Linked DNA regions of Drosophila melanogaster. The protein of the gene in region 1 interacts with the protein of each later gene in a pairwise test. Each region holds a gene or a part of one and is shown on either strand. Other genes may lie near its edges.

What was found.
Region 2: the proteins of Ddr (region 1) and Met75Cb interact in a two-hybrid assay, tested with the Drosophila melanogaster proteins (one large-scale study listed by BioGRID).
Region 3: the proteins of Ddr (region 1) and CG31482 interact in a two-hybrid assay, tested with the Drosophila melanogaster proteins (one large-scale study listed by BioGRID).
Region 4: the proteins of Ddr (region 1) and CG17470 interact in a two-hybrid assay, tested with the Drosophila melanogaster proteins (one large-scale study listed by BioGRID).

The regions. Positions count from the first base shown.
Region 1 is NT_033779.5:6,248,398-6,257,948, reverse strand, and holds the start of Ddr (discoidin domain receptor), read right to left. Parts: upstream 4,827-9,551; 5' UTR 4,620-4,826; intron 2,091-4,619; exon of another isoform or gene 2,074-2,090; coding exon of another isoform or gene 1,423-2,073; exon of another isoform or gene 1,127-1,422; intron 1-1,126. Other genes in the region: AANATL2 (arylalkylamine N-acetyltransferase-like 2), read right to left, coding at 1,423-2,073.
Region 2 is NT_037436.4:18,466,683-18,473,922, forward strand, and holds Met75Cb (Met75Cb), read right to left. Parts: upstream 2,937-7,240; 5' UTR 2,917-2,936; coding exon 2,761-2,916; 3' UTR 2,696-2,760; downstream 1-2,695. Other genes in the region: Met75Ca, read right to left, coding at 5,527-5,682.
Region 3 is NT_033777.3:6,596,560-6,604,765, forward strand, and holds CG31482 (uncharacterized protein), read left to right. Parts: upstream 1-4,682; 5' UTR 4,683-4,750; coding exon 4,751-4,792; intron 4,793-4,850; coding exon 4,851-4,979; intron 4,980-5,036; coding exon 5,037-5,353; intron 5,354-5,406; coding exon 5,407-5,506; 3' UTR 5,507-5,642; downstream 5,643-8,206. Other genes in the region: CG1138 (uncharacterized protein), read right to left, coding at 505-1,377.
Region 4 is NT_033779.5:20,639,760-20,647,609, forward strand, and holds CG17470 (uncharacterized protein), read right to left. Parts: upstream 3,486-7,850; 5' UTR 3,346-3,485; coding exon 2,698-3,345; 3' UTR 2,547-2,697; downstream 1-2,546. Other genes in the region: CG31680 (uncharacterized protein), read left to right, coding at 391-433, 505-905; Sfp38D (seminal fluid protein 38D), read left to right, coding at 1,181-1,223, 1,290-1,756; phr6-4 ((6-4)-photolyase), read right to left, coding at 3,886-4,841, 4,905-5,571; CG2608 (uncharacterized protein), read left to right, coding at 6,336-7,103.

The DNA.
Region 1 (9,551 bases):
TCTAATCGATTGCTTTACATCATAACCTTTGGTGTTGATTAAGCAATTTGAGACTATACGCTTTTATCTCCAATCGAATTTTTCTATTTGAGGGTCAGGGGTCAGCAACAACTGTTACCAGACTGGCGAAACATGGCAAACAGACTGTTCAGGCCAAAGCGGTAGTAAAAATCCCTCTGACTTTCCTCAGATTTGCCCCTCCTGCTCGATTCTTGTCGAACTTATCCTGCAGACATGTAAATTACGTTGGTTTTTGGTCTGTTTGCTGAATTTTCAACCAGACAGGACTTTGTCTGGCCACCCAAAGGACCCATTCCAATCGAGTCCCAGTCCCTCGTCGCCATTTACATTCCAAAATATTCTGTTGCACTTCCAGCCTCACCAGCTTACTCAAAAATGAATTTTTATGTTTTCGACAAATTCTATGTACCGAATGCTAATCCTTCAAGTTACTAACTACCTCGAGCTATTCTGACATGCCTTCATCAAATGAACTCGGCAGCATAAAAAAAGTATCTGGGAAAATTGTCACAACTTCTAGGTTCTTGCGACCAGAGAATCAGAAAAGCTTCTCGGTTAGCGTGAAAAGAAAGCTTTCTGCTCAAGGTAGCCAAGTGTGAGATCCATAATTCTGCTCAGCCTTCGCGGCCAATCGAAACCAAAACAACGCACATGTTACATAATCATATGTTTTATATATATAATCACAGATAAGACGACGAAGGGGAGTAATCCGTCGCCCATGTGTATCTCATATATATGTATGGTTTGCGCCTGCATCGCATGTGGCTAGCGTTTCGCCAGTGGATTGGATTACAAACACAATAAAACAACAATTAGTTTTAGTGCGAAAGCGGAAAAATGAGAGCAGGGCAACCGCAGTGCCGACAACAGTGCTGCGTCCCTTTAATGGACGACCGAGATGGAATACGATGAAGTGGGTCCCCGCAGCAAGGCCGAGCTAATGGGAGGGCAAAGTTCGTGGGATGTGCCACTCGACGGGAAAGAAGTGGCTGTTCTCGTTTACGACTTTAACTGCTAATGTTGGGCAAAAGCAAATCGCCGGATTTCTTATCCCACACTTAAAATCGCACAGACAAATCGGACAGATTTTCCAAAGTGATTTATGTGGAAGAGTTACGATCTTGGATGGGACAGTGCTGGGAAATACCCGGTTAATTGCACGCTTACTCATTTATTTTGCAAGACCCAAGAAATCAACGACAAACACTTATGATAATAGTTTGAATTCCTATATACTTGAACTGAAAACAATACAAAGTTGATTACAATGTCTACATAAACAAAGCTTTCTTATCTATCAAAATCGGTTTAGTTTCTTACGACTCCCCCTCCTTATATTGCCTATCTATCATGTTGCCATGAGCTATGTTTCTACATTCTTTGGTAATTTTCCTACTCTTACAGTCGTATGGCCACGACACTGGCGGAGGTGTGTGGCTCGGATGCCCGCAGGACGATCTCCCCGTGCTCGTCCTTGTAGTCCGCGTAATCCTTTGTGAGTATGCACTCCATGTTTAGGGCGGTCATAAGGCGTTTGGAGTTCTGGTTGCTGCAGGTAGATGTGACGACGGGAAATCCACGCTGGCGACCCAGCTCAATGGTGGCCTCCACCAGGCGGGTGCCCACTCTCTGGCGTCGAATGGACACGTCCACACCGAGCATGTACAGGTAAAGCGCCCGCTCCACTCCGTAGTGCTTGAAGATATTGGCCTGCCGCTCGATCCCGGCCAGAAACTTGTGTATCTTGTCCAGCAGGCACGTGATCTCCTTCTGCTCAGCCTCCTGGTACTCCCTCTCCAGATCCTCGGGTACCAATTCACCGGCCAGAACCACGCCCACAATGCGCTCCCCGTCGACGGCCACCAGGGAGAGATCCTGGGGTATGAGCGAGCGGTGTAGCTCAGCCTCCGCGGAAGACACCTCGCTCTGCTTGGGATCCTCCTGGGGGATCAGCATTAGCGGCTCCTGCTTGAAGAAGTGCACTGCGAGAAAGGCCTCGACCTCCTCGTAATCCCCGATTGTCATGGCGCGTATGGTGATCGCTGACATCTTCGCATTTGCCTCGCTCGCGGACTGAGACTGAGAGAAATTTAGCGCAATTTACTTGTTATATACATGCCAGGCCATCAAACATGCAGTGAGCTTGCGCCATCGTCTCCGTTCTGAGCTTTTCACGAATATGGGGCCCTCCTCCCAACGCACCGCCCACCTCCCACCGCCCAACCACCCACTGACCCGACGCACAGTTCTTATCAAAGCTTTTTTTCAAAATGATGTTCGCTAAACAAGCGGCCCCGAGGTTGAATGACACCAGTTTTGTTGTTCTGAGCGTGTGAATAATGATCTCAAACCATTTAGCGGTCCGATTGACGCCACCTGATTACGACGAGTCATTATACGGTTTATATGAGACCCCATATGTCTCGTAATACGGATCTTATCATTGGGTTAATATCTACGGAACATTATATGTAGCTATTTTACTTGCCGGTAGATACTGATCTCAAGTGTAGATTGCGCAGCTTTAGACTTAATATGTTTTTATATAGAGTGTATAACGGGTAATTCAAGACAGGTATTTTTAGGCAAGTAGTCCACTTGTGGATGGCATTTAAATATAATTTCTACCCGGCTCGAACTCGACTATAAGATACTCGTTCTTAAACGCAAGCTGTACCCTACATATAAAAAGTGATAGATATAATAAGCATCTGTTTAATCCTGAAACTGTAGCTCTGATAACATATCAGGTTTTCAGGATCCTGAAGTTCACACGGATTGGAAGCCACTAATCACCGGGATATATGGGTTAAAATTGCTTCTCAAACTTGGACAAAAGTTGTTAACTTGAGGTCTGTAGACGGCGATTCCACTCTCAAGTGGTGAATAATATTCCAAACAATGAGTGGTCCGGTGAATAAAATTGAACAGGTTTAAGGCAGGGCTTTGCTTTTGCATTTTGCGTGTTTCAATGCGAAACAAGTCGGTGGTTGAGTTCCCACCTTCTGTTCGACGAATCATTTGGCTAAATTATGAATCGCTGTTCAAACTCAAAATGCAGGTCATTAGTGCAATTTACATCAACCCCTTTTTAGTTTGCCCTCGTGGACTGTCACACGCACTTTACTGCACCACATTAACCCTTTGTTGCCCATCGCCGTTTTGCATTTTCCGCCCCCTAGTTGTCTTTTTCAATTATTTGCGGGGCTTGGTAGTCGTTGAACCCGTTTGAAGTTTAAAATCATTTTTTTTTATTTATTTATTTACTCTACGTGCAGCGCTGTTTTTTGATATCGCTCGCGGTCTTTATGGGAATTTAATTAGATTTAAAAGCCATAAACAAAACGCTATCTCGCTCTGGTCGCTTTTTAAGGTTGCTTTTACTTGGCATTTCGAGTCGCAATTGTTTTAAATTATTGGCATTTAATTTGTTGCGTCATTTTCAAGGTTTCCACATCCGATGACTTCAGTGGGGAAAACGAAAACGAATTAAAGTTTATTGAAATCGATTTTCACAGCGCAGAGCAAGAGCATTTGTAGCCATTTTGCGCGTTTCAAGTTTAATTTTCTATTTTTATTTTCGTGTTGATGACAACACCCAGAGGGGCTGGCTAGGATGGCATGGGATTTCCCGGACTACGTGACCCGCTTAACAAATTTGTGCGTGTTTGGGTTCGCCCAGTCCACGACCTCCAGGATCCGACTGCCGATAGCGTTTGCGCCACCCTCGCTTTATAGTTATTGCACTTTTATCTGCCTGACCATTTCAAAAGTCACTTTTGGCCTCCACTGTCCACTCTTCCATTTAATTAAAAACGAATGCACTGGCAGGGGTCAAAGTTCGTTCCCACGATCACCTCTACGCCTATCTGAGCTGGTATCTTAATGCCTGCGGGTTTTTCAGGCGCTAAAACGGTTTGCTACCTTTTGTTGCCCGAACTATGCGCTTTGTATCTATCACTTAATCAGACATTTCATTATCATAACTTCAAGGTCCCCATTAAACCTCAACTATTGAGCTGTGAATAGCTATAATCAATCCATTAGTTCGTTTTAACAATCACAATAATTATGGCATTTTGGCATGTAAGAAGTTAAGTCGAATTTGCAGGCACTGCGAAATACTAAAGATTTAGTTTATGAGCTCCATTTGAAATTGTTTTGTTAGCAATTAGTGGTTTGAGTTATGTAAGTTAAAGTAGAGCAAAATAATTTAATTTTAAGTTGGAGCACTCAAATTTGATTGGCCGCCGCCAACTTTTCCCCCTCAAATTTTGGCCGGTCTTTAATGGCATCATAAAGCTGTTAGCAAATATTAGGTGCATATTTCGGTGAGCATAGTTTTAATTAGTTTCAATTACTTCTTAAACTTTTTATTGGATTCGTCCCGACCATGCGAATTACCGTTAATCACCCCATTAAGATGAGCTAAAAGCCGAAAAACGAAATCATAACTTTTATTTTCACATAATTAAATCGACATTAGAGGTCGTTTAACTTTAGTTAACTACATTTAAGCCAAACGAGGTTAATTTTCGTGGTGGCAAGCGGGTCGCCAGGGTGGCAAAACTGGGTGGAAAAGCATACGGGCTCACCTGGACATTCGGAGGCCTTTGGAGTCCTGCGGATGATCCAATATTCGCTTGATGATGTTGCACATGGTTAAGTTACCGTTAACACTAATCACCACCAAGGTCGACACACACGATAACCGATAACGATAGTTTGTTGTCGATAGCCGATTGCCGACAATCGATTGCCGATGGCCGATAACGATAGGTGCAACACCGCCAGTTGTCCGACGCGTTGCTCCAGCAAAAGTTTCGCAACGACTACTGGCCCGTCAATTGGAGCTGCCTCAACGAGTGCCACAATGTCATCCACACGCACACAGACGAACCAGCACGGAGGACACCACACACATGCACACGAAAGAGGAAACATTTGCGATTTCCTTGCGCGACGTTTCCTGCTGTCGCAAAGAGTACTTGAAAGAGTAGGTTAAAAGAGCGCCACTCTCTTTCATCATTGGCGCAAACTCGCTCGCATGTGGATCCCATTTGTTTGATGAGAAAAGTATGAGTAGGTTGTGTGAGGGGGAGGTGAGTTGTTGCTGGCACAGGTGAGTCCATAATTCTGGCTTGTAAATACAAATAAAGGTACATAGTTTCTGATGCAAAATTGAATACAAAACTGGACACATTTGCTAAGATAGTTTTTGAAAAGAAAATACCTCTTTTCACAACTTTTCTGGAAAAACTCTCTCGCTAGCGCATTAAATATTTAAAATTATTGATTACATTTCTGGACCTGCTTCACCTTTCACCGCCCAGCCCGCCCACACAAACAAAACAAACTCAACGTTACTTTGTATTAACTTGAACTGTATCAGAGAGTTCTGCAATTTAAGAGCGTGCTCCGCTCTCTTCGACTCTCGTTGTTTCGTCGTATAAGACGGAGCGCGGCTGCCTGTTGATAAGCATTTACATTTACATAAGGTAAATAAGGAGCTGTGGATCCTAACAGCTGAACTCCGCGGGGGGGATGGGGGTCATGTAAACAACTACAAAAGTTTTCGGCCAGCAAAAGAGTTATTATGGAAAAAATCAAAATGGGCTATCGAAAAAATTAATTATCCTGAACGGAAGCGAATGCAACTTTTTTTTAAAAAAGTTTTAACAAAGTAAAGCAACATGGCACCGCGAAATGTATTCAACTTTCATTAACCAATATAGTAATGGAGTTTATTTTTCTACCTTTACAATATTCATAACTCGAGTATGAGAGGTGTAAAAAAAAATGATATCATAAAAAAAATGTAAAAAAGATAACAACAAAGACTTTAAAATTGTCGCAACTAAGAGGAAAAAATAAATATCAAAAGATGCAAGTAACCAATATTTAATTAAGTGGGCTGCTGTTTATGACATTTTATTCAAACAGAGAGTAAAACCCTAAAGGCTTTTGCGCATTTACATCCTTAAATATTGCCTCGATTCTTAAATTTCTTTATTTGCTTGGAAACCAGTTGTCTATTTATTAATCAGAAAAATCAATATCTACGTTTTATATAAAGTAAAATGTATCTCAAAAATACACAAGAGCTCAAGGCAAAGCCCTTAAAATAGAAAACCTACATTGGTTTAATTTTGTTGTATCAAATGCAGTTAAATGTTGTTAGCTTTTACAACATTTTTTGTGCAACAAAAACGTAATGTTTAAACTCTCTAATTATTATGCGTAGTCAATCTTAATAAAAGACCCAAGAAATGTGACACCAAAAATGCATTAAAATTAAGCAAATAAATTACACACATGTGCTTAATTTTGCGTTTAGGGATTATGTACAAGAAATTAGCAAGGCTATGCGATTTTGACATTATTCAATAACAAATTCATCTTATACCTTTTATCTGCACAGGCACACTTTCTGAATAAACATATGGCTGAAGCGTGTATCGCCGGGAATTAGTTTAAAGCAAGTTGCCACTTCAATTAGGGCCATGTCTGGCCAACGAGCGTCTGAATGGCCCCGGTGGCATCGGACTGCTGATAAGGATAACTGCCGAGTTAATCCCCGATGTCGTTGCCAAACATTCAATCACCGGCTGTCAGAAAGTTGCAGCACGGGGGCTTAAGGCAACTTTGAAAATTCCAAAACCCACTAAGACAGAGAGCAATGTGTTTGCAGCAACAAAACAAAATGCATATCAAATTGTTGACTTAATGCAGAAGGGGGAAAACAGATTGATGTCGAGCATGAGCCAAGAGTTCTTATCACAAGTTTTTCCCTACAGCTGTTTGCTTTTCTTTTCACGCTTTGCAAACCGTGAACGATTTAATGTCTGCAAAGTTATCAAACTGTTGATAGCAGCGCATTGGAAAATGAGCACTTAACTTTTGTCTCCCAGACTTAGCCAATTGGGAATAATCTTGCGCATCTTAAGCGATTGTTTTTATTAAAGAAGAAGTTGTCTGGAAATGAGTTGAATTAAAGAGCTGAACATTAAAATCATATGATTAAGTTTATTGAAAAGAATGAAATCTGTAGAAACCTACACTTTGTTACCACAATTATAGGATCAAACGTGAATCCTACGATATAAATACAATAAATCTATAAGATGTCTATTGACCTTGGAAGTTCAAGGATAGGTCACGGCGGGCCGTCTCGAGGATTACTGAGAAATCCAAAGCAATTAGGCAAAATGATTTGTGAAACGAGAAAGGATTTGAGAACCGATGACGCTCCTTCCCATCTTTTCTCAAAAATCAATGACTTGACGCAAAATTCGCGTGGGACGAAACACTAGAAAAGCGGGAAAAACAGAAAAGATTCATGCCCTTTGTTTTCCAATACAACTGACCGTTTGCGGGCGTTTGAGGTCCAAAGTCAAGACGTCAGACTGATTGTCCTGACATTTGTGAAGGTGGAAAATCAATAAGCGGAGAAAACGGAGAAAGAGATAGGCGGCCAAAAACGCAGCCGCCTGACGTGGCAAACTATTTTACACCTGAACTGTCTGGCCTGTCAAAAAAGAGCTCAGGTGCGACTGCGGAGTGAGGTTTCGGGAAAAACAAATAGAAAATGCGCGCGGCGAAAGGTGGAGCTGGAACGGAAGGTACAAGCCGAGCGCTCCGGCTTAATGAAGATATTAGACAGCGTCTGAGGAACGGGTTCCCATCTTGACAGCCATGACGGTCATAATAAGGCTGGGTGTCATAAGCTGTTGAAAGTCGATTGAAAAGGTCGAAGGAACTCGCAGCGGGCAAACTCGACTACCAAAATATTTCTCGGCGTTGCACATTCAGTCGCACTATGGGCTTATGACCACAATTTCCGCTTAAAATCCAAGAAAATGCCATAGAAACGGTTAAATTTTCGGACTATGGAATATATGACATTTACCTACATATATTTGTAAGTATCTCTGTATTGAATTTCAATTTTAAAGATTTCTATCTTTCTGTTCTAAACTTCTACGGTGTTAGAAGTTTAACTAGATACTAGTTAGATCGATTGCTCTAGGTTCCCCTGTCAATTTTTATGCCAAATTTTTTGCTTTAAATTTTTCTGAGTGCGCCGAGCTAAAAAAAAGGGGAATTCCATAGAACCGACAACAACAACAGAAGTTGCCAACTTGTCAGCTGACAGGCAGGCGGCGTTCTTAGGGCTGTCCCCCAACCACCATTCTCCACAACACCCATCACCCAGCCCCCTTAAGCCGTCAACCAACTCGTGTCAAAAGCCCCTTGCCTGCGGCATGTGAGCGGAAAAGGAAAAGGTGTGGGGCGATGGGGTGGGTGGGGAAAAACAAAATTCAAAGGCTGCCAATTGCCAATTGAAGCCGTAAAGTATGCTAAGCAATTTGCGTCGTGTGTGTGGTATTCATGTGGATGTGGGTGTGTGTGGGTGGGTAGGTGTTTGTGTGGTGGTGGGGCAGGGAGTTAGGGATTGGAGGGACTCAGTGTGTGGTGCGATATTTATTGTTGTTTCATGCCAAACTTGAGCCGGAGTCAGAATCAGCTGGCTGGTTGGTTAGCTGGCTGGGCGAAGGAGCCATGAGTTTAGCATGGAGGCACCTGGCACCTGACGTATCAGACCTCGAACACCGCTCCTAATCCACCTGCTGTCGAGGACCCTTCATAAGTCGAACAGTGTGATTTCGATTTTGGTATGTAGGCTCTCGAACAGCCCTAGCTGCGATGGATGAGGCGTAACCGTTTCCGGTCCGCTTCCGGCCTACTTTGACTGAGTGTAACTAAGTTGAATTTATATTCGGTGATGGATTTTCCAGTTATGAAACTTGATTCATATTAGCTCGTGCAATTTACCACCTAAATCACAGCATATTCTAGGGTAATAATTTCAGATTATTCATTTGGCAAGCAATGATTTTGGGGCACTAATATACCTACCCGTCGGCAGCTACTCCCCTATTGTTGTATTTCCATTTCCGGCAGACGACGTCCAGTCACAAAGCTAATCAAAATGTCCGATACATGCACTTCACTCACTCAAACACTCGCACGATTTCCCTCACACGCACTTCGAGTGCAAACCTTGAATCTCGTAGTGTTGTTCGTGTTGGTTTTTCTTGGGGCTTTGGAGTGCCATTCAGGGCTGGGGCGAGCAGGCTTGTTCGAGAGTCCTTTATTGGGCGCCTCGAAAAACACTTGAATGAGTGGCCCTTGCCGAAAGGATACCGATTGATTTTACTCACCTCTTCTGCATTTGCGTAGCTATATTTATAAGTGTACATAAAAATGCTTAAAATAAACGAGAGTAATAATGATATTTCATTCACATTTCATTTGTGATTTAACTACATTTCTTTTTTTTTTTTTGCTTGACTATCAGCATGCATTGAAGTGTAGTTAGTTGGCTGAGATTAACACGTTTTTCGGGTTGCCAGACTAGCAACATTTGAGTTAGATATTCATTAGAGTGGAAAACTAAATAAACGTTTCTATATTTTTCAGCTCTTCTAAAAATTGAAAAAAAATATATACTCACCTAACCGAAG
Region 2 (7,240 bases), on another chromosome or scaffold:
AAGCTCATCGTTCTATGGTGGTGTGCCCTTGGTAAGGGTATAATTATAAGGAATAAGGACCGAAAGATTGCGTAATCAATTTAAGCGCTTGAAATATCAACAAGGACTCGAGAACCGTTGGCAAGTCACGTTGTTTGATATCTACCGACACACGGCGAGGCTCCTTGATATGTGCTCTTGTCACAGGGAAAACTTTGCGGCAGGTTCACAGCCCAAATATTTGCTTGGAAAAGTTGCAAGCTCGAGGGAAGAGAGGCAAATGTGTGGTAAAAAGAACATATTTTTGTGGCTTAACTCAAAAAATATATATATGTATATTCGGCTTAGGAAATCCACAAAGGCGCCAAGGATGTAAAATTGTGAAGGATGAGGAATACTAGGAGAAGTAGGGACTTGACCTCGACTGAACTCACTTCACCAATCAACGTCACTTCAGATGAAAAACGACTGTGCCTTGCATAAAGGTTTCAATTTTGGTGCACATTTTTTCAATAAATTTAACACACTCAAATTGCACTTCAGCATGAAGAAAACATGAATTTTTTAATAGACCATGTGTGTACATTATAAATTTGATTAAAACCAAAGAATTCTAGTTAAGGAGCAGCTGACAACAAGTTGTTAAATTTTTCAATTCTTTGGCCAAAGGCAGAATACTTAAATGTATCAGAACCACAGTCAAGCCACAACAAGTTCTTGGTTGTGCACTCGACAGCTTTTAAATTAAAATCACAATATTTAATGCATTGCGCTTCCTAACCCGAATTTTATGTTTGGAGCTAGATAAATAAATGCCCCCTATAATAAATGTTAAAATATGCCTCAGATTAAAGTGAGATTTTGGTATGACGTTTACATTTTCTTCAGGGGTTTTAACACTAGCAGCTCTCATCAACACTTTATTAATATAAATTCAATTTAAAACCGAGACTGGTTGACCTGATTACCTTAATTCAGCGAATCTCCACCAGATAAGCATCCTCGCATCATCATAATCGGGCAACTTGTATCGAGGGCATCAGCATTATTAGCTCCGCCATCGCCGACAACAAAGTGATAAAGTGATTCGACATCCAGGCATCAGGGAGTCAATTATATAATGATGCGTCGATATCGAAGTACATGGTGGCTGTTGCCTCGCCTGTTTCGCCTGACAAGCTCGTTAAAATTTATGCTTTGTTTGTATTTCAGGAAAATGGTAGTCCAGGATGCTCCTCGCATGACGCTCTCATTTGTGACGTAGTCCACAGGACTCGACAGGATGCAAGGGGATAAAACCAACTATTAGTCTGCCCCAGTTGGTTGTGACAGGCAGCAACTATCACAATAGCTGTCAATGTTTGGACATTTGTCGATGACCATAAAACAGAAGCTTAAATATAGAATCGTTTTTCGAAAGGGGACATTATTGGCGGCACTTGAGGTTGATGAATAGCGCAGAGAATATTTATTGGCATTAGCGATAAGATCAGCCCAGACGAGTGAAATAATTTTCAAACTAAGAATAGAGAACAATTGAGTGCAATTTTTAATAGATTGCAAAGTTCTTTCTTCAGTAATTATAAAGTTTCAATTGCGTTTGTGTTAACACAACCATATTCGAGCACAATACAATTTATTTTTATTAGCTCTTTGCCTTAATTGTGAGCCATAAATGATAATTGGTTCATTGACGATGCTAATTAAATTACATGAATAATTCGGTTAACTCTGCATATGGCAAAATGGAACAACAGGCAAATGTATTTAATTGAGGTATACTTGGCAATTAAAATACTGTTTTCACAAAAGCAAATTAGAAAATAAGCCAAAATTCAAAGTGGGAACACCAATTTCGAAAAAATTTGATTTTCAATGGCAATCTGCAAGTTTAACTGAAATTAAATGAAAAGTAAATATGGGCTACTGAATTAAACGTAAAAGCGTAACAAATAATAAAGCAGGAAAATTTCATTCAGTCAGTAAATATAATTTTTATGCCAGCGGCACACGGAAAAAACGTTTTATTCGCTGTCCAAAGATTCCCCGCAGATAATAGTAAATATTTGAAATTAAATCTGTGTTTGTCGGCCAGTTAACCAATTGAGTGCAATCCAGAGCCCGCATTAAAATGCAATAAATCTGCCTCGAGCAGGCTTTAACTTTCCCGATGAGAGGCCCCATCAGGCTGTCTTTTCCGGGCTCGAGTTCTCAGTTGCGAGCACAGGACCCCCTCTCACAGGCAGGAGCCAGTGGAATCCTGCACATGTTTACATGACGTTGGCCTGACTGCAGTCGCGGCTGCATGCAAAATTAATAAGCCATAACAAGTTGGTTTATGATGCGGCTTCCTGGGACTGGGAAACCGTTCTTCTTAGGGGCGAATTAATTAGCGAAGCAGTGAAAGGAAGGGGCATAAAGTTGTGCATTCAAGAAAGCTCTTCCACGTCCTTGCCAACACATCCTCGGAGTCATGGTGTGGATGAGGTAGCTGCTGAAGGTCGTTCAAATAATGGCCCATTGAGCTTACCAATTCATTCATAATAAGAAATCTAGTTATTTTCTTAACCTAAATCGATGGTTCTGAACAGTAAGAAGTATTGTAAATGATCTTCTTCTTAAGCATCTCCCAAAAGGATAGAATTACCATTAATGTAATGTCCACTCTTTTTATGCTGCACCCTCTTTTCCCATTTAACTTAAACATCGCGTATTTATTTCTGGTACATTTAGTACCTTAACGTTTTATTTCTTTAGGCATAGGACACTTTGGAAAGGTTCCTAGAATGGCAGGCAAGTGTGCCGGGCGTAATTGTAGTAGGCGTGGGGACCACAAGCCTTGTCCTCCGAGGTTTCCTGGCGTGTTGCTATCTGTGCATCCACAGAGCTGAGGGCCAGGCCCAGGAAGACTAGCAAGAAACCATTGAATACGTTCATCTTGTCGAGTAGTGCTGAATGATCGGCTGTGGCAGGTAGTGAGCTATTTATACCCGACTACACGTTGCAATTAATATGGATGCTACGTGATACGGCGTTAAGCTTGCCATTTAAGTTTTTCCGGCATTTAAATCCCATCACTTACGTAAGCTGTTCGCTCTAGTTTAACATTTCTCCGATGACCCTCTCTGTTGCGATGGCTCACTTGGCGTATGCTTGATGGCAAATTGGATGCCATCAATGCTTGCCCGAGTTTGCAGGCGCACATGAATCGTATGTTTGTTCTGGCTTCTTTCGGCACAGTACTTAACTTTGACGCGATTATAAGTCGCATACAGCGACAAACGTCCAGTTCATGTAATCGAGCGAGTTGGATACGCTGAGACAAGGCAGCATGTCTTTACTTCAATATTACGATGAAGTCGGCAAAAACTTACATTGTTGACTAATAAAGTCAAAGGGCCTCTGTGAAAACTTCCGCGAAGATGCACATTGTGTGTTGGTTTCGGGACTCAAGCGTAGTCTCACAGATGTGCTGTTCTCAGCTGTTCTTGCCGTCAACTCTGGCGCTGGCGCAAGAGGTGGAATAGTACCATGAAAGATATGCGTATGCTGCCAGCTTTGTGAGGAGCATGGTGGAAAAAGAATACTAGGCAAGTGCCCATCAGCGGGTCAAGCCACCCCAACAAGCAGAAGCGGATCAAAGAACCCGCCTTTTGGTTGGCAGTAGACATAATCGTCCCAAGGGGCGTAAACGCTTTCCATTGCGATTTTCGCACGCTCGCAAAGGTACAGGATGAGATATCCCGGAGGTTCCCAGCCACACAGTTCTGGCATTGCAGGAACCGCGTTGTGGACGTTCTCAGATTCGAAGAAAGAAGGGAAATCTTAACTGCTGAACACAATAGTGCATACAGAGCAGAGCAAGAAAAAGTAAAGCAGGTATTGTCGGAATACTATTTCCCCAAAATATCCAAGCTGGCCAATGAGATCGTGCAGAACTGCAGGACTTGTGCGAGGGCCAAGTAAGATAGGCACCCAATGAAGCAAGAATTCGGTGAAACGCCAATACTGTCACACAATACTGTCTTGCACAAAGACATTTTTTTTTATGCTGACAACAAGTTATTCCTCACTTGCGTCGAGAAGTTTTCTTAATTTGCCATCGTACAACCTACCGCCTCGAGAACTATTAAAGACCATGTATTGCGACAACGAACCGTCGCTGAAGTCGCACACGATCGTGTCCATGCTTTGCAACAACTTTGGTGTAAGCATTACAAATGCATCACCACTAAACAGTACCTCCAACGGACAGGTGGAGCGTTTTCACATTGCTGGAGCTAGCCAGGTGCATAAGGATAGACAAGGGCATAAGTGATACGGTCGATATAGTAATGTTGGCCACTATCCAATATAATAATAGGTCGATTCACTCGGTCATCAAAAGGAGATCGGCTGACATCGTCCTAACGCAACCTGATGAGCCACACGTAGATTTCCACAATAGGATCCAGAAAGCTGAAAGGGATAGAGAAAACGCCTCGCCGCAGAATAGGGTATTCGATGTTAGCGAAAAGGTGTAGGTAAAATCCAACCGAAGACTCGGCAACAAGCTCATGTGCGAGGAAAGAGCTGTAGAAGCGGACATGGGGACCACGATCCTTATTGAGGAGAGGGTAGTCAAGGACAACAAGGACAACATACAACTCACTTACTTGTTTAATCACTTGTACTTTCCACATCGAAGGAAATTCAACACACTCTTTTCACCGACTGTGTCCTCAAGCTGTAACTCAATCTGCTTTAGCAAATTAGCAACAATTTTAATGATTGAGGTGTAGTAAATAAACAGGTAGTTTAGCTTTGCATCGATTTCATTACATTACAAATGGGATTTGCAAAGTTAGTTTGGCAAATAACTCATTTAACTAAGATCCAATTTACACTGACTTGGCTTAATTTGTTTTAGTGTTTTGAGTTAGCTAAAATTAATTAAGACACTTTAGAAAATGTATAATATGTGTCTCAATAATAATAACTGTTGAAAAGTTGTATCAATGAGCTTTGTAAATAATTTCCTTTAGCCTCAGTTTTTCCAATAATACCTTTTTCTAAGAATCATTTATAAGAGTCGTTGGCCTGACTGCAGTCGCCATTACAAGTTGGTTTATGATGCAGCTTCCTGGGACTGGGAAACCGTTCTTCTTAGGGGTGAATTAATTAGCGAAGCAGTGAAAGGGGCATAAAGTTGTGCATTCAAGAAAGCTCTTCCACGTATTGCCAACATTTCCTCGGAGTCATGGTGTGGATGAGGTAGCTGCTGAAGGTCGTTCAAATAATGGCCCATTGAGCTTACCAATTCATTCATAATAAGAAATCTAGTTATTTTCTTAACCTAAATCGATGGTTCTGAACAGTAAGAAGTATTGTAAATGATCTTCTTCTTAAGCATCTCCCAAAAGGATAGAATTACCATTAATGTAATGTCCACTCTTTTTATGCTGCACCCTCTTTTCCCGTTTAACTTAAACATCGCGTATTAATTTCTGGTACATTTAGTACCTTAACGTTTTATTTCTTTAGGCATAGGACACTTTGGAAAGGTTCCTAGAATGGCAGGCAAGTGTGCCGGGCGTAATTGTAGTAGGCGTGGGGACCACAAGCCTTGTCCTCCGAGGTTTCCTGGCGTGTTGCTATCTGTGCATCCACAGAGCTGAGGGCCAGGCCCAGGAAGACTAGCAAGAAACCATTGAATACGTTCATCTTGTCGAGTAGTGCTGAATGATCGGCTGTGGCAGGTAGTGAGCTATTTATACCCGACTACACGTTGCAATTAATATGGATGCTACGTGATACGGCGTTAAGCTTGCCATTTAAGTTTTTCCGGCATTTAAATCCCATCACTTACGTAAGCTGTTCGCTCTAGTTTAACATTTCTCCGATGACCCTTTCTGTTGCGATGGCTCACTTGGCGTATGCTTGATGGCAAGTTGGATGCGTAAACAAGCGAAATGAGCAGTCCACAGACACACATTACCCATTTTCCCACCCGTCTCTCTTCAGATCTCTTCAGTCTTTCTAGCCGCTTTAAATTAGATTTCTGTTTGAACTTGCCAAGAGAATTGAGTTCCCGTCAAGCACCACATCATCACATGTAATACTCCGCACTTACTTGTTTAATCACTTGCACTTCGCACATCGAAGGAAATTCAATACGCACTTTTTACGGGCTGTGTTCAGTAAATAAATAGTTATTTTAGCTTTGCATCGATTACATTACATTACAAATGGGATTTGCAAAGTTAGTTTAGCTAATAACTAATTTAACTAAGATCCCATTTACCTTGCCTTGGCCTAATTTGTTTTAGTGTGTTTAGTCTTTTTAAGAGACTTTAGAAAACTTGTAATATGTGTTTCAATAATAATAACTGTTGAAAATTTGTATCAATGAGCTTTGTAATTAATTTCCTTAAGTCTCAGTTTTTCCCATAATACCTTTTTATAAGAATCAATTTACCCAACAAAAGTTTACAAAATTTGGTCTACTGATAAATCCCTTACTTAAGCTTTAAAAAATTACTTATTTAGATTGGAAGTGCCATTGACGTTTTTCACAGTTTTGCCATGCATTATAGTTGCAACTCTTTTTCGCCAGTTGGTAAGTATTTAAAAATTAAAAATTCAATTTGAAATGACGAACGCTGCCTTTCGGCAACTTCCCGCAACCACTTCAACCGATTTTCTCTTGCGTTTCCCAATGAATACTTAATATTCCTCTTTTCGGATAGAAAGCAAAAGCCGAAAAGGAAAATCGGAAAATCGGAAAATCGGTAAAACCCAGCTGAGTGACGACTGCTGCCCGGAGCTTACATGGAGACATAATTACCCAGAAAGTTGGACTTGAGTAGGGCACATGGGGCGCCCGAATGTGGGGCGCCATTATGTGTAAGCGGATAGCTTTATGCCCCGGAATTGCAAAAGAAGAACTTAATTTTTAAGAGCACAACTTAAACTTTAGCGAAGCAAACAATTTTTGTTCGTGGCGAACTTTTAGGAGCTCCTCCGACTCGAATTTAATTAATTACACGAAAAATGCAGAGGGGGGAAGCCACCGGTAGTTGCTTTATTTTGGCACGTGATAAATTAATTTAAGCCAGCTCGAAAGCAGTTCGCATAATGTATTTGCATACACATCGCGAGGCGACGTCAGGTGGCATAAAACTGGATCATTTGGGGGGCGGATGGCGTGGGCAGGTAGTGGACGCCCGAATAGGTTTAGGTTATCGAATTGGGCGTGGCATCAACTTAATTACGCTACGCA
Region 3 (8,206 bases), on another chromosome or scaffold:
AAGAGGACAGTTCACCCTTAATAAGTAGTAAGAATGCAAAAAAAGTATTGAAAGAAATGATATTTAATGTAAATATATTTAAAACGTAATAGATACAATTTCTTACATATATCAGTTGCGTACAAAATATATATACATATATGTATATACATATAGAAATTATAACATTTTTATATTATTTTTCTTTTTTGGCCTACAGGATGCCGAAACACATCGCATGTAAGAAAATACATGCTCTTCCTAGTCAAATGTACATTAGGGTACCACCATTTGTGGCAGATGCCGTCCCGTGGATGCGACTCCTCCGATGACCAACATAATCAAGGAATTCGCATATGGAGGGCCGGCCCGTGGATCCTGACAAATTGAACAATTTAAAGAGGGCTTTGTGGGTTTATTGTGGACGAGCTAAGTAGGTCTGTGTGCCGGTGATACAAGAGCTTGGGCGGCTCGTGGTGCCGCCTTGAAGTAAGCCGAATCGGAGTTCGAAAAAATATAAAAGTATTAAAGGTCTGAACGAATGGATACACAGGAATTTTTCACGTTCTGGAAGATTTCACATTTTTTGTTATTTATCACGCTTGAAAGATAATCTTGCAAATTTTCCGCGGCTGTTTTTAAAGAGATTGTCACCCTAGCGGCTTCCTTCCGAAAAGGTTTGTATTCACTCTTTAACATCTGCTTTTTAAGTTGAGTTGTTATCATCTCATTACTTTTTTCTATAAATTCATAGAACTCCCTGCCAGTATACTTATCTTGGTCCAAGAACCTAAACCGTTGAAGACATAGTCCTTGATGTTTTTCGAATTTGAGCTTAAAGGAGTCTAGTTTTTGAATTTCAATCTGCAACTGATCCCCTAATTTCTTGCTTCTGCAGTATTCATCCCGTACCAGTTTTTTGGCCAGATTGGATGATCTTCGGACGGATTGCATCTGAGTCAGTTGGTGCTGTAGTTTATGGCTTGCAAACTTCAGCTGAAGAATTTCGGGATGAACTTCCTTTACATTTGTCAAAAATATATGATCATCCAGGCAGGGATCTATTTTTGGGCATTCCGGTATATTGGTACCTAGTTGGTAATTGAGTCGATTTACGCGCCGCTTTAAGCGAAACACCTCATCGTAAATATCTTCGAGTTCCAGATTGCTTTTCTCGTTTGATTCTTCTAGAACTTCCTCAGCGATCCAGCAATCTTCGGATTGCAAAACACTCTGCATCGTGCAGTGAAACACTTTTTTTGGCCCGTTATGTTTGAATGCGAACTTTGATTGTGCCAGTTTCTTATCATTTGGTTTAGTGTTTTCCATTTTACTTATTCCTGCTGCCTTGCACGATAAATTTTGGTCCACTGATTGCAGTATTGGTAATGAATTCATCTTGAATTCATTCCTCCAAATTAACCAATATCCAATTAACTGTGAACTTCAAAACGGAAACTAACTCGGTACACAACGAGCACTTCCAGTGTTTTCAAATCATCTAACACAAATCTCAATGAAGGCTTAGATAAAATATCGTATATATCGATCTATCTATGGGTTTGTTCGATCTTTTAGTTGGGTACGTGCAATTATTATATCCTTTTTCAAAGCGTCCCTTAATTTGTAGTTTTAACTACAACTAATGCAGTCTTCAACGCAGATATATACGCAATATATAAAAATGTTATCGGCAAGAAAATCCACTGAAAAATTTGCTCAACTCCCATTCACGGAATTTCAAATCCTAACAAAAAGCCTGCTTAATGTGAATTTAAAATACCAAAATGAAGACGGAAAAAGTTGGGATACTATACTGTCCCAAATAAAATAGCAAAAACATAAACTTATTTATATATAAATACAATTATAAGGAAAATACATACTTATGTTGTTATTTAAGCCAGGTTCTAGACACTCTGAACTCCAAAAATGTAAGAAGAGTTTGGATGCAGTGTGCACTCAATGGGTAAGCTCACATTATTGAATAGATTTTGCGGAAGGCAGAAGCTTTCCTTTTCACTGAATGACAGCGGAAAATGAAGTGAAATCTAATTAAAACCCTTTGCTAAAATCACAATTGTCAGCGAAAGCTCACGCACACCTGCTCGCAAAACTCACGAGCACACAAACACTGACACAGACAGATGGACAGACACCGGCGATTCCCATACGCAAACAAATAGAGGATCCGATTCTGAGCCCGAGTGGGGCGGTCCTGGCAGGTGAAAAACAGACGTCAGCTGTCCAACTACCCGAATGCGGAATCTGGTGAAAACAGTGCAAAAGTTTTGACCAGAAATAAAAGAAAGGCGAACTGTACTCGGCTTTGGAAGCCACCACCACTTAGTGATGCCAAAGAGAACCTGTGTTTGTAAGATTATTACTAGGAAAACCAAACTTGAATAATACCAATAAATATACAGGAAAGACAGGACAAATCCAATTTATGTTACATGTTTTGGATGTCTACATCACCCATGAAACTCCGCGAATCTAGCCATTAGTTAAATGGCTTAATAAAAATTGTTTATGTTTATTAGGGTAAATCATTGACAGTTTCATAATTTGATTGTAAATGATGGTAATCGGTAGCTTACAATAAGCTGGCTCACCTTTTTTTTTAAGATTTCTTAGGATAGGTAAGTGCCATCTCTGATTTGAATCTAGATGCCACGGGGTGAGGGGCACATAACCTCCAGGAGCGAATAAAACGCGCTGTTGCACACGAAAAATAACAAGCTGCGTTGGTCAATTCATCGAATGTCGGTCAGGGCTGCCGCCAGGGAGAAATGGATTGGGCAATGGGCACTGGGCAATGGGAAGCAGGAGCCCGGAGGTGGGTAAGACCACCTGGGCGGAGGTCCATGCAGGGGGCGACATAAAAGTTTCACACCCAGCCATTTGGCCATCAGTGTCCAACAGAGCCGTTGGGCCGGAGTTGCTGTGTTTGAATTAAAAGAAATTAGTTTAGTTATGCCAATGCTCCCCGGGCTACGCTATTGAGTTATCGGCCAGGCAGGAGTGGGACAACTTGGTGCCGGTGACAGGAGGCAACTCGGATGGATAAATTGCAAGTTTTCCCTTACAATTTTGAGTGTGTGCTGCTTGTCCTTGCGTGCCTGGAATTTCAGAAAAAATAAACGCTTTGCGTGTTGCTCTTCTGATGTCGTTTAACCATTATGTGGCATGAATTTGCCATTTTCATTTAAATGCTGCTCTTGGCAGCGAGTCAACTCGTTGGCTTTTTAGCGACTGTTCTGCATTCATAAGCAGCAATCGTATATATCCTGCGGAATGTACTGAAATTGTTGTTGGATTTAGGTCTAAATGTATACAAAACTAGTATTCTTATTTGTTAAGCCCTGAATAAATTTAATTTTTAAATTGCATAAATTGCAGTGCAGTGAAATCATCTGTAATACCCATAGTACCAAAAACCTTATTTTTGTGAATGATTTTGTGTTGCGTACAAAACCTAGATTTCACGCTGATCATTTCCATTCCTAAGTTTTGAAAACAGCAGAGGTGCCATCACCAGTGACGAACCAGATTATGCTCATGCTGGTGCCATCGAAATTGATAGTGGAAATATGTGTGCTGAATGGGATATTTAAGCGCGCCTATCAAACACGCGCACAATAAATCTTCGTCACGGGCCCAAATTGACATTTTACAGCCAAAAACCAGAAACCAAAGCCACGCAGAGGACAAAGTAAGTTCCACTAGTCCGTGTTCCAGCTGCTTTTTTGCTCCTGCGGCTGCCGCTGTTTCGAAAGCCACTGATATTGTTGTCAACGATGATGGCCCAAGGCATCAGCCACATGTGTGGGAGCCAGAGCTCGTCCCTCCTCAAAGTGCCCTCGCACATGGTTGGCAAAGCCAAACCTTTATTGCCACAGCTCCATGGAGCAACAGCGAAAATTTAATATCTGGCTGGGGCGTGGCTCCATTGGAGCTGGTCCGTTGTTGCTGGCGATCAGAACTCATCGCATTATCCTTTGGCCTGGTGGCGGTTACTCGCTCAAAATAATTGCACACTGCACCCCCAATAAGTCTGTTCGCCCGTTTGATACAGAGAAATTTCTATTCGCATTTCCCAAACAAAAGTGGTGTACAAAAATAAAACTGCATATAAGTTTTAAAACATACGCCATACAAAATATATTAAAAAATGTCCGAAAAAATATTGTGCTTTTCCTCGTTCTGGTTTTCAGTGTCTCTGTGAAGTCATCTGTCAGTACCCTAATGCAAAAAGCATGAAACCTCAGGCCAGCTGTCAACACAACAAGCAAATTGCCGCGGAAGCATCAGTTTTGAGGCAACTAGACTTTTTTGATATGGAAAAACCCCTATCAGTAAGAGTCACTAGAACTATAGGTTTATTTTTAAAAATAATCAGCTCCTTTAACACAAAGTTAGACTTCTAAGTAGACAAACAAAATTTAACCCTCGTCTAATTTGTGTTTCTTTTGAGATTGGTTTTGATACTCAGCTTTCCATGCATTATGTCCGAATCTAAAGTCAACTTCATATTTTAGTAGATTTTTGGAACGATACTCATGTACAAATGATACAAACTGCATGAGAAGTGCACGGACTAAAAACTGTATTAATTAAGGGATCCTCCATACGCTTTATAGGTACACCAAACTAATTACAATTTAAGTAACTTTTAAATTACGTCACCAGAATTTCGAGGTCTTTAAAGCAATCAGAATCCTAGATAAGTTTGTCAAAGTTTTCGTGCTATAGTTATTCTCAAAAAAACATGTTTTTGGTGAACATATTGATTGTTTTGGCTCTATGTTTGGTATAATTAAATATTTAGTAATTTTAAATGAAATCTGATTTATTCTCCTGTATTCTAGTTGGTGTTGGTTATAGCTGATCTTCAGGAGGACCATCTAAATGAACACAATCGGTTGAGGGAGAAGCATGGAAGTCCGCCTCTGACCTTGGACGATGAACTCACAAAGGGATGCGAAGAATATGCTAAAGTATTTCGTTGGTTAATAACAATGTTACCTTTTTACACTTTTAATACCCTCGAACAGGTGCTAGCCAATAATGAAAAGTTAGAGCATTCAAGTTCTGCCGGTCAAAACTATGGTGAAAACTTGTGCATGCGGTCACAAACCCCTCTGCAATGTGTTCAAGACTGGTACGACGAAATCGCGGACTACGACTTTGAAAAGCCACAGTTTGCAATGTCAACGGGTCATTTCACCGCCCTCGTTTGGAAGAATGCGAAAAAAATGGGTATTGGGCAAGCCAAGGACAAAAAGGGTTACTACTGGGTGGTAGCAAGATATTATCCACCAGTCAATGTGAACGGGCAGTTCGAAGAAAATGTTCTTCCGCCGATCAAAGGGTAAGCAAATTAATTACATCTGTAGTTTTTTCTTTCATTTTATTTCATTGCAGGGAAGGTGATGAAAATGGTCAAGGCAATTTGAATAGATTTCAAGTTGACAATATTCCCATCATAGTCATGCTTTGGTTATGCTGGCAATTCACAAATTGAGGGTCATTATCACTTTGAAGTTTTTGTGCCGCAGTTCTTGTAAATTTGTAGTTAAGCAATTTGAAAAACCAATTACTGATATTTGAAACTACTCTGTACCCAATAATAAATTTCACTTTTTGGAAGTTTGGTGAATATGCCATTGTTAGTTATGTAAAACCATTCTATCTAGTTGCTTGCAACTTGTAGTTCACCAGGAAGATATTAAAACAGCACACGATATTTAATGATCGAAACTGGGGAGTGCTGCCTTAACACTGGGGTGTTTGGCATTTACAAAAACTATTTAAATGCATGAAATATTTTGAATTAAAAAAAAGAGAGAATGTTATAGTCGAGTTCCCCGACTATCTAATACCCGTTACTCAGCTGCTGGCAGTGAGAACGTGATATTTCATAATTTTCTGGCATATCGATAGATATTGGAGAATTTAATGGGAAGGCGTGGCTGCATGGATGAACAAACTTGTGCTTTAGAATCTGTATGCTTTATCTTAACCTTATAGCTTATATAATTCCTGAAATTTCGACGGTCATACGAACGACCAGACAGACGGACATGATCCTGATCAAGAATAAATATACTTTATACGGTCAGAAACTCTTCCTTCTACATACTTCCTTGACATACTTTTTAACGAATCTAGTGTATTCTACTTAATTCTACGAGTAACGGGTATAAAATGTGTTAAAATTTATATTATTTGAAACAGCTATTACTACAGCTATAGAAATCCAATCTAAGACGACACAGCACTGGTGGGCGTGTGAGTATGTTGGGTTAATTTGAATTCGTGCGATAGGGATATTCAGTTTTTTTTTTTCACTAGGCGCGGGTTGTTCTGGCCTTTTTCTTTCCGCATTTATTTTTATCTTTTTTGGCAATCAGCATCAGCCGAAAGGAATTCCCCATTGACTATGCCGGTGTCAACAAAGTGGCGGAAAAGAATTAGGTATACTGTCTCGGTTGGCTGTTTATACCCTTCTACTATCTCAATCCTTAACAAGTTTTAGATGGCTTAATATATTTATAAAATTATATAAATTGTAATCATTTTTATGAATTATATCACATTACTTTACCACTAAGTCAAAATGGGTGACTTATGCACCTTTTGGGGTGGTACCTACCACGTACTGGGTATCTATAAGTCGGTGCAATCAACTAGAGCGCTATTTTATTTCAAGCTTTGTTTCCTACATGTCTGTTCCCAAGTGGAAGTCGATGTCTGGGGCTCAGCAGCTGCCGGGAGCGCATTAAATCCTTAAGCACTCATTATTATTCAATCAGATATGGAGTCGAATGTCTTTTTGTTTGTGTCTTACTTAGCCTCGCTTTCTGGGTGGCTGCGCCGTGCGTGGGTCCACCTAATGACATTCAAATTGCTTCCATCTCTGGTCGGTTTCAATTGGAACACCTTGCACAAAAATTAATGGAATTATAGATCACAGCGTCTAGGGATGCATGTTCCCCAGATATTTCTTTGACGTCTGGTTGAGTGTTAAATGTAATGAAAGCAGAAATTCTATACGGATTTGAAAGTTGGAAATTGGTACACTTCTTAAAGAAAATAGTGTGAAAAATGTGTGTCATTTGGAAAACTGTATTTTTTATGCATACCTTTAATGCGTTTGCTTTTGAGGGCTGAATAACTATCTTTCGAATGTCCTTTAGTTCGGGCACTTATAAAATGCTCCCCATCACCACTCTATTATGGTTTGGGTTCGACGGATAGCCGAGTTTGTCAACTATTTACAACTTGAACTTGGTCGTAATATTTATGTGCATCGTAAAGGCCGAAAGTTGGAGCGACGCACTGAGAAAATGTTGTGAAATCAAATTTACACACAAACCATCCCTAATGACCTAGCCCACAGACAGAACGGAAACACGGAGGCGCCACTCCGGAAAAGGACGAAGCCAAGTCGCGGAGCGTTGTGTCTCGTTGGCAGAACTTCATTCGCGGGGCTGGAAATTGTTTAATTTCGCCCTCTCTTAATTATCTGCAGTGTGCCGGGTGCTTAAATTATAATGGCGCTGACCTAATTGAGTAATAATTAAAATTAAGTGCATGCTAAATTGTTATTAATTATAAAGTGCACGCAAAGATGCCACCAACTTTCATCGATAGCGTGCTAAGGGATACTTAAAGGGCCCGGGCTAGTTGGTTGCAAGTGTCACCAATCGAGAAGGGCAGACTGAAATCTATGGCCCATTCAGACCATTTACAATATTCTCTTTTTAATAAAATAGCACTGCGGCCAAAAGTTAATTTACTTTTCGCGACGCGTAATAACTTTGGCCAAATATTAAATGCGGTACTGGCAACTAATGCAATCACACCCTCTATTCAGATTGAGAGACTGCAGCAGTTGCACTGACATTTCAATATAAATTATTGCCAATGGGAGTGGATAAAATGTCGCATGTACCCGGAACATGAAAACACCGAACAACAAATAGACGACTGGCTGGTGGCGGAACAAAAACAAGGGGAAAACCAGAAAAGAGCGTTATTCATCGTTAAAGCGACTGAAGGCTAGAGCGATGACGACAGCGGCGGACGGCGAGATGGATGTACAGGGCGTATGCGCAATGCGATATGCAACAAATTGCTAAACAAATCAAATTTATTGCCAGAACTGCGCGCACAACAGCATTTGCAGTACGCATGTAAAGCGTCGCCGAGATAGCAGAAA
Region 4 (7,850 bases), about 14 Mb from region 1:
CCCGGCAGCCGACGGACGCCCTTAAAAGTAGCAGCAACAGCACATGGACCACATGTCACCAACCCCATTATTTCCGACGAAAACTGGTGGCAGTCAGTTTTTCCGAGTACACAAGTCTATTTCCATGGGTATTACTGAAAATGAGGCTTATATCTATAAGTTATTAAGCGAGCATTAATATGACATGTTTGTATCGAATTGGTTTAAAAATGCATATGGCTTCAAGTCTTGTTTACCTAGCATTTGTTGCACATTTTTTTTTTAAGAGTGTAAAAAGTCAATCGCAAAGCTTGACGAATGGGTTTTCTACACTCCTTTATATATTATTTTAGGTTTATAAATTAACAATATTTAAAATATCCGTATCAGATGCATTTGTTGGTTAGCGGAATGAAGATAATAGCACTCTTAGTATTGGCGAATCTGGGCTTTGGTGAGTTCATTGCAGATCCAGATTGAGATATCAGCCTCTAATATGACAGGAAATTACAATATATTCCACAGTTCTAAGTGAATCCTTAGCAGAAATGGACAGGCTGGCGACGTGGAGGCTTCATAATATTTCAAACAAGTACAAATACCTATCCACCGGAAACCCCGAGTTCTACCAGTGGATAGAAAGGGTAAACACCGTTGCCGATGAATTCAATCACTACAATAAGCATCGGCAAAGACTTGAGGATCAAATTACTGAGCGCTTGATAACGATCAGATCCATAATTGCCATAAGAAACGCAAGCAAGAGATGTCTTCGATTCTACCTTAATCAGGAAGCTGAACTTGAAAGTGCCTACAAGTCCTCCAATGAAAGAAAACAACAGGTTCTCTACCAAAATAGTGTAAGATGCCCTCATGGATTGGATGACGGCAGGCTTGGTGACCCTTACTTTGTTGACTACTTATGATAAATATGTTTAACCAAATCAAATAAAATATCGCTTTTGATTGAAATACTTTGGAATAATTCAAGCTTAATTAATTATGGGCAAGCCTGTTGAATATTTGTTTGAATTTGTGTGATAAGGTTTTTTTAACCGCAGTTGCTTTGCATGGCTTAAGTATTTAAGCTTAATCTATTTAATATGCTTAATATGCATGTGCATATCCATCGATTTGCTTTGCCCTTTGTAGACTTTCCCATTTTAGCTATTCACTTCAGTTAGCATTTCGAACCGCCAATATGAAGTTTATGGCAATATGCCTATTGGCAAATATTGGCTACAGTAAGTACATAGTACATTTGTACAGATATCCCAAGACAGACACTCATTTAAGCAATATTTATGCAGTACTTGGCACTACAATTGGCCAGCTTAATGACGAAGCCACAATTCGACTAAAGGGACTTGTGGAGAAATATAAACTGCAAGCTCTTAGCAATCCCGAATTCTCTCAGTGGATTGGCAAACTTGAGAAAACTAGCAAGTCGAGAAGATTGGAAGACAAAATGAAGGTCAAAGCTGAATTTAAAAACTACGACGAACGTCGCTTGCAATTGGAAAATAAAATTAGGGAACGCATTACGGCGATCGATGACCTCATATCCGATATTATGGCCAAAGTCCCGATAAAGGATAAAGGGTGTCTCAAGTATTACCAACGCCAGAAAAGATCCCTTAAATTGGCCCACAATTTTTCGAATTTAACTAAGCAAACAAACCTCATACGCAACTCGAAACAATGCGAAACAACTAAAGTGCAGTCTAGTGAACTAAGTGAAAGCTCTGAAAATCCGGATGAGTATAGTTATTACTAAGCTAGTATTACTAGTATCTAGATAGTGCATTATATCAATATATACACATATATGTATCTTTCGAGAGCTTCCAGCAACGAGTTTCCGGCCCTGTTAATATTGATTATAATCAATCTCGTTGACCATACTTTCATTTCGCAGAGCCCGTGGCCATTTTTATTGCATCCACAATTCGGCTGACCACATTTTAGCTTCATTTACAGTTATTTGGCCGGCCCCCACCTGCACAGATACTGTCACACCACCGGCCGCCGACTAAATGCCTACGCCAACAGCTACGCCCACGGCCACACCCACGCCCACTGCCACGCCCCGCAGGCAAAACCGCAAATTCAATTTTGGTTTAGAGCCTACAAACATTTTGCAGCGTGTTTATGTCCGGCTGCATTGTTGCGAGTAGTTTTCGCTCCTGGCCCGCTTTTAATGCAATTTATGGGAAGTGTTTGCCCCGGATTCGGTTGCCACTGACCACAAAGCGATCTTTTGTGATATGGAGAGTGGATGTGGATGTAGGCGCGGGGCATGGGGTATGGGGCATGCGGCATGTGGCATGGGTGGGTTAAAATAGTGGTCGCGGTCTCTAGTTGGGTTTTCATTAAAGCATGACCGGTTGCCAACTGACAGTTCTTAGTGGCCATGTCCGCATCATAATCGTCAATCGAACTTTGGACAAATTTGCAATTTTGCAGATTGCGGATGCGAGTCCATATGGTCGCATTTCTATCTAGATCAGGCAATAAGGCTAAATTTTAGTTTACAGATTAATGAAGCAAAGAAAAAAGTAAAATTTCTATTAACTGAACATATAAATATGTTTTTTTTTATTACATCAATGCTAGTGCTTCCTTTTACCGAAAACCTATTGAATACGCTAAAAAATTGGAATAGTCGCAAGCGGAAGTCGTCCAAAAAAATCCTTAAGAATTTTGGAACCAGTTTTTCTACTTGTCGTATCGAACCAGGCGCGTGTCGTCGCCGACCTCCTCCAGATCCTTTGGATCGCGGCGGAAGCGATAAGTGCCGACATCCTGGTTGGCCGATTCCGGCAACGTCACCTTGATGCCCTTGTACTCGGTTCGACCTTCCCTGACCTCCGGCACCCGCAGCTCCATCTCGGCCTTGTACTCGTCATCGTTACCAATGTCCACGTCCTGGACGTTCTTTTGCACGGTGGGATCCTCCTCGTCCTGGTTCCAGCCATCAATCTCGATGGGGACAATGGGGTTGCCGTCGACGCCTACGACGGAACTAGGTGCGCCAGTAGGCAGGATCTCCACGGTATCTCCAGAAATCGGATTCTCTGCTGGTGGCGACTCAACTGCATCCGCGTCCACTATGTTGGTCACCTCTTTGAATGGAGTATGGTCCATCAATGTCAGCGAATTGACGAAATTGCGATTAAACTCTACGTCAGTCTTGGCCATCTCATTTATATTGATATCTATCACGGTCACGCCATCGATGTTCCGCGGACGGTCAATGGTGAGGCAAGTAAGACCAGTAGACATTTTGGAGTGCAAGGTCGAGCGGGCCACACGGACACGGTGCAGCGCCAGCTGATTCCTCAGCATCGAAAGATTGCGAAACATGGTTTTTGTCGGTGTTTCGAGTGCGGAAACTAACTACCCAACAGAACAAAAACCGAAGTTAAATTTAAAAAACGTTCTTATTTACAAACAAAAATTGGAAGGTCTTATGTTGCCGAAATTTTAGATATGACTAAAATTCCCAGCTAAACCCGACAACTGACAAATCTCGATTGTGAAGGAAGTTAAAGGCCAGGCTACACTGGTTACTGATAATTACTGAAATTGAAATATAAATGAAATCACTATCGCCGTATCAATATCTTTATTGGTGCATTTTATGTGAAGTACACAAGCGTTTAAACATATTCTTTTGTCACCCTCTTATACCTATTGACAACTCGAACATTCCAATTCCAATTCCAATTCCAACAAATACTATATACTCGTTTTATACCTAAATTTCGGTAGGGTAACAATCAAGAAGTTTATAGATTTATACCTAAAATAGTACATAAAACAATTCTTCCATCCTTAATTCATATTAGCTCACTCCGTAGATCTAACTACCTTTTACATAAGGTAGCGAACAAATTTTAGGTTTTAACGTTTTCGCTTAGGGGCACTTCCGGTTGCCCTTCGCACCTTCCGCTTGCCAGACGTGGAGGTTTCTGATTTCTCCTCGAAAGACGACTCCTCCTCCTTGCCAGTGCGCACCTCCCGATTTACTTTGTAGGCGGCGCCCATTCTCTTAATGTTCTCCTTGTGCACCACTTCGTGTTTAACAATCCGGTGGGGATAATCCGTGCCGAGGACGCAGCCGTATGCCCGCTGATCCACCAGCGACGCCTTCCAGGGCTCATAAATACAGCCAGCAGGATATTTTGAGAGTTCCGGCACATACTTCCTGATATAGTGCCCTTGGGGATCCGTTTTCTTGCCAAACGCCACCGGACTGTAGACGCGAAAATACTGGTGAAAGAAAGCGGACGCAGATAGCCACATCCAGTTGCCAGCGTTTAGTGCCCAGTCCTGATCCAGCAGCAGCTGCTCGAACACCCGCTGTCCCTCCTCCCAACTGATCCAGAGGTCTCCGCGCGTTAAGAAACATGCCACTGCATGCCGGGCCAGATGATGGATCCAACCCTCCTGGCGCAGCTGACGCATGATGGCGTCGATGAAAGGATATCCTGTGCGTCCGTGTGTCCAGGCCTCCAAGTGATCTGGATGCTCCTGCCACGGAATTTGCATGCAGTATACATTGCCCAACATTCGATCGAAATTGGGTTCCGCAGCCGCCACTGTGTAGTAAAATTCCCTCCACATGAGTTGTCCAATGAGCGAAACGGGCGGCTGCGAGTGCTTCGGCTGGCGTTTGATAATTTCCTTGAGCTTTTGATTGAACAGTCGGGCACTAAGGCATCCAAATTTGAGGTAAGGGCTTAGTACGGTAGTGCTAGGCTCCAGCGAGTTGGGTGCCGTGTTGGGCTTCTCAAAGCGGGCAACCCAAATTTCATCCTTTAGGGATTCCTCCATGCGGCGCAGTGCCTCTGTTTCGCCTGTTTGATAAAAAGAAATCCACATTGTTGTAGTTGTGATCAAGAGTTTAACTATGTTTTTACCTCCCGGAAACTTATTAGGGCCCAGTTCCTCCGGGCGTTTTACTAATTGCTTCATCGTAGGACAATCATAGGCCGCCGAATCCTTTTGCTCCACCTCATCTTTGGGTGGTGTAGGCATGTTTTTAAGCTTTTCAGGAACCCCTAGAACTTTAGGTACCTTTAGTTGCTCCACAATGCCCAGGAACTTTTGATAGGTAATTGGAGCCTTGCCAAGATTCTTCGCTATTACTAATTCCGGATTATAAATCGTGTGGGAGCAATGAGTTTCCACTCTCACACCCTCTGCCTTGGCCAACTTCTGCACGGCAGCATCCCGGGTCACGGAGTACGGCTCGATATCTGTCTCAAAAGTTAGCATTTCCACGCGCCAACTCTTAAAAATACGGGGAAAAACCTCTGCGGGCTTCCCGCGCACCACAAACAGACGGGAATTAAGTTTCCGAAGCTGGTTATCCAAGTCCTCCAGCGTTTGCTGCAGGAATCGCCATCGATTGGCACCCACTTGCATCCAATCGAGGATTCCTGGATCCAAAATGAAAATCGGGCGAACAAAGTATTTTCCTGGAGCAGCGTTAGCGGCGGTAAAAATGTGCGATAATGCCGGATTGTCGTGCAACCGGAGTCCTTTACGGAACCAGTGGACCAACGTGGACCTTTGTGAATCCATTTTGGCACGTGTCCCCGATTTCAAACGGTACCTATGCGGATTTATCGTAGAAAATATATTTCAAAAGCAAGAGCGTTCTAACGAACCTGCCAACACGTTTTCTGAACTTATTTACACTGCGCTGCAAGGAAAGTGTATAATGTTCTGGTGAGCGTGTTTATTTTGTTCACATACGTAGATAGGGCAAGTGCAAATAATATGAAGACAAATTTCATTGCATAATATGAAATTTAAATATGTTCACAATAATATTTTATGATGTAAAAACGTAGAACTTGTTAAACGTTCATGCTCTACATGCTTTAATCAATTTAAAATTACAAAATGAAATGTCTAACCTCTTTTTACATGTTTTGAGCAAGATATTGTATATACATTTTTTTAAATCTTTCAAGAATTTATGTTTCAAGTCGTCCGTCGAGTGTAAACAGCTGTTTTGCGATTCGAAAATACCGAAGTATGGCAATAGCGACCAAGTTGGCCATCCTCACTTTCAGTATTTTTTGCAGAGTTTATTTGGTGCACAAGCACCGGTAGTCAATATAATTATAATTACATTAAACCACCTAAAACAAGCTGATCAACCGCAATCAAACATCTCAACGGGATAATAATAAACGCCAGAGAGTGGTAAGTTCCTAACAATACGGCCACGAAGAGCGAACAGCTCGATTAACTGAAATTCCCTCGCATATCTTTCGATGGCATTGCAGGCGCACATCCGCCAATTGCTCAACATTAAGCGAGGAAAACACGGCGGAAAAATGGATCTGCTCGACTCAATACTCAACGCCATGGATGCGCCGCCTGCCAACAACGAGCAACAGAAGACGCTGATCAAGAAACAGCGCGAAATGTTAGAGCGGATGCAGAACAAACAGAAAGAGGAGCTCCTCCGATTCCGAAAATATGTAGACGAACGGATGGGGCGATTCGCCAAGGACGACAGGCGATGCATCGAGTTTCAGCCGCTGGATAAAGTGCATCGCTCGGTGATCCACGAAGTAGCCGAAAATGGCGGCTTCATTGCCATGAGCTTTGGCCGCGAGGATGTGGACCGACATTCGGTTGTGTACAAAAAGGAACACGCTCCTGGCGAGGATGAGGTCACGGCCCGTCGGAACGGAGACGGTTGGAACGAGGAGATAGCCAAGGAGTACGCGGAGCGACGGCGGGAACGATTGGCGCAGGAGCAAAGTGACAAAGAAGCCTCCACATCCGAAGCAGCAAGTTCAGGCTCGTCCACATCCACATCAGCGGATCAGGACTCCGGCGAAGTTAAGCCCACGACCAACTACAAGGCCAAGTATGCCCACCTCATCGGAGAGTCGGCCGCACTGCAGGCGGCCCGTAAGACGGAGACCAACCAAAGCTACGGATTCGTGCCTAGCAAGAATAAGAAGGATGTGCGCTCCATCGAACAAACTTTGGCCGACATCCAGGCCAAAAAGCGTCTGCGATTGGCTCAGCAGCAGGAGCTGGAGCAAGAGCAGCAAGCGCAAGAGGCAACCACATCCACAGAGGACCCATGAGTCGCCTGTGACCCAATTAGTATACAGATAGCTCACTTAATGCAAGACTGTCGCAACCAAAAAAAAGGATTATACTTCTTAAATCAGAATCAGAGAATCAGACATGACATGCTCGTCTTGTTCGCAAACTCCTGCTCGATAACATCGACAATATTTGACAAAACAGAGCAGTAATCATCTTCAGGGAGCCAAAGATTTTTAAATTTATAGTATTCATACTATGTTTTTGCCCACATTAATCGTATTTGGTAATAGGCTTGATACTAATTTTTATCTTAGGTTAGCCCCATTAAATTAAATGCCCTTTTTTTTTGAGTAATGACAGCCTTGTATCGAGTGAGATTAGTTTTGTTGATTCAGATTAGTCACATGAAAGGTCTCTGACTGCCATGTAAATCATAAGTAATAAGCAATTTCATTTGTTGGCCAATTAAGATCCGAAAGTTGTACATGTTTTAAGCAAGTTATGTGTCCGTAGCAGAGTCCGAATCGCAATATCTATTTATATAATAAAAACCTAAAAAAAAAAACGTCGCAAGGTTCAAAAAAATCTTAAAAACGGGGCGCCACTCAAAAATCACCAAAAAATACAGAATATTTCCATTCCAGTATTTTCTTGTTCGTCACTTCTTTCTTGTCACGGTGGTGAAGAAGCAGTCACAGTTTAATGCCAGCCGAAAGCCGCACCACGTGTTGCCCATTCCAAGAAAAATAAACTAAATTAGCACGATGGCTAATAGAAAACGC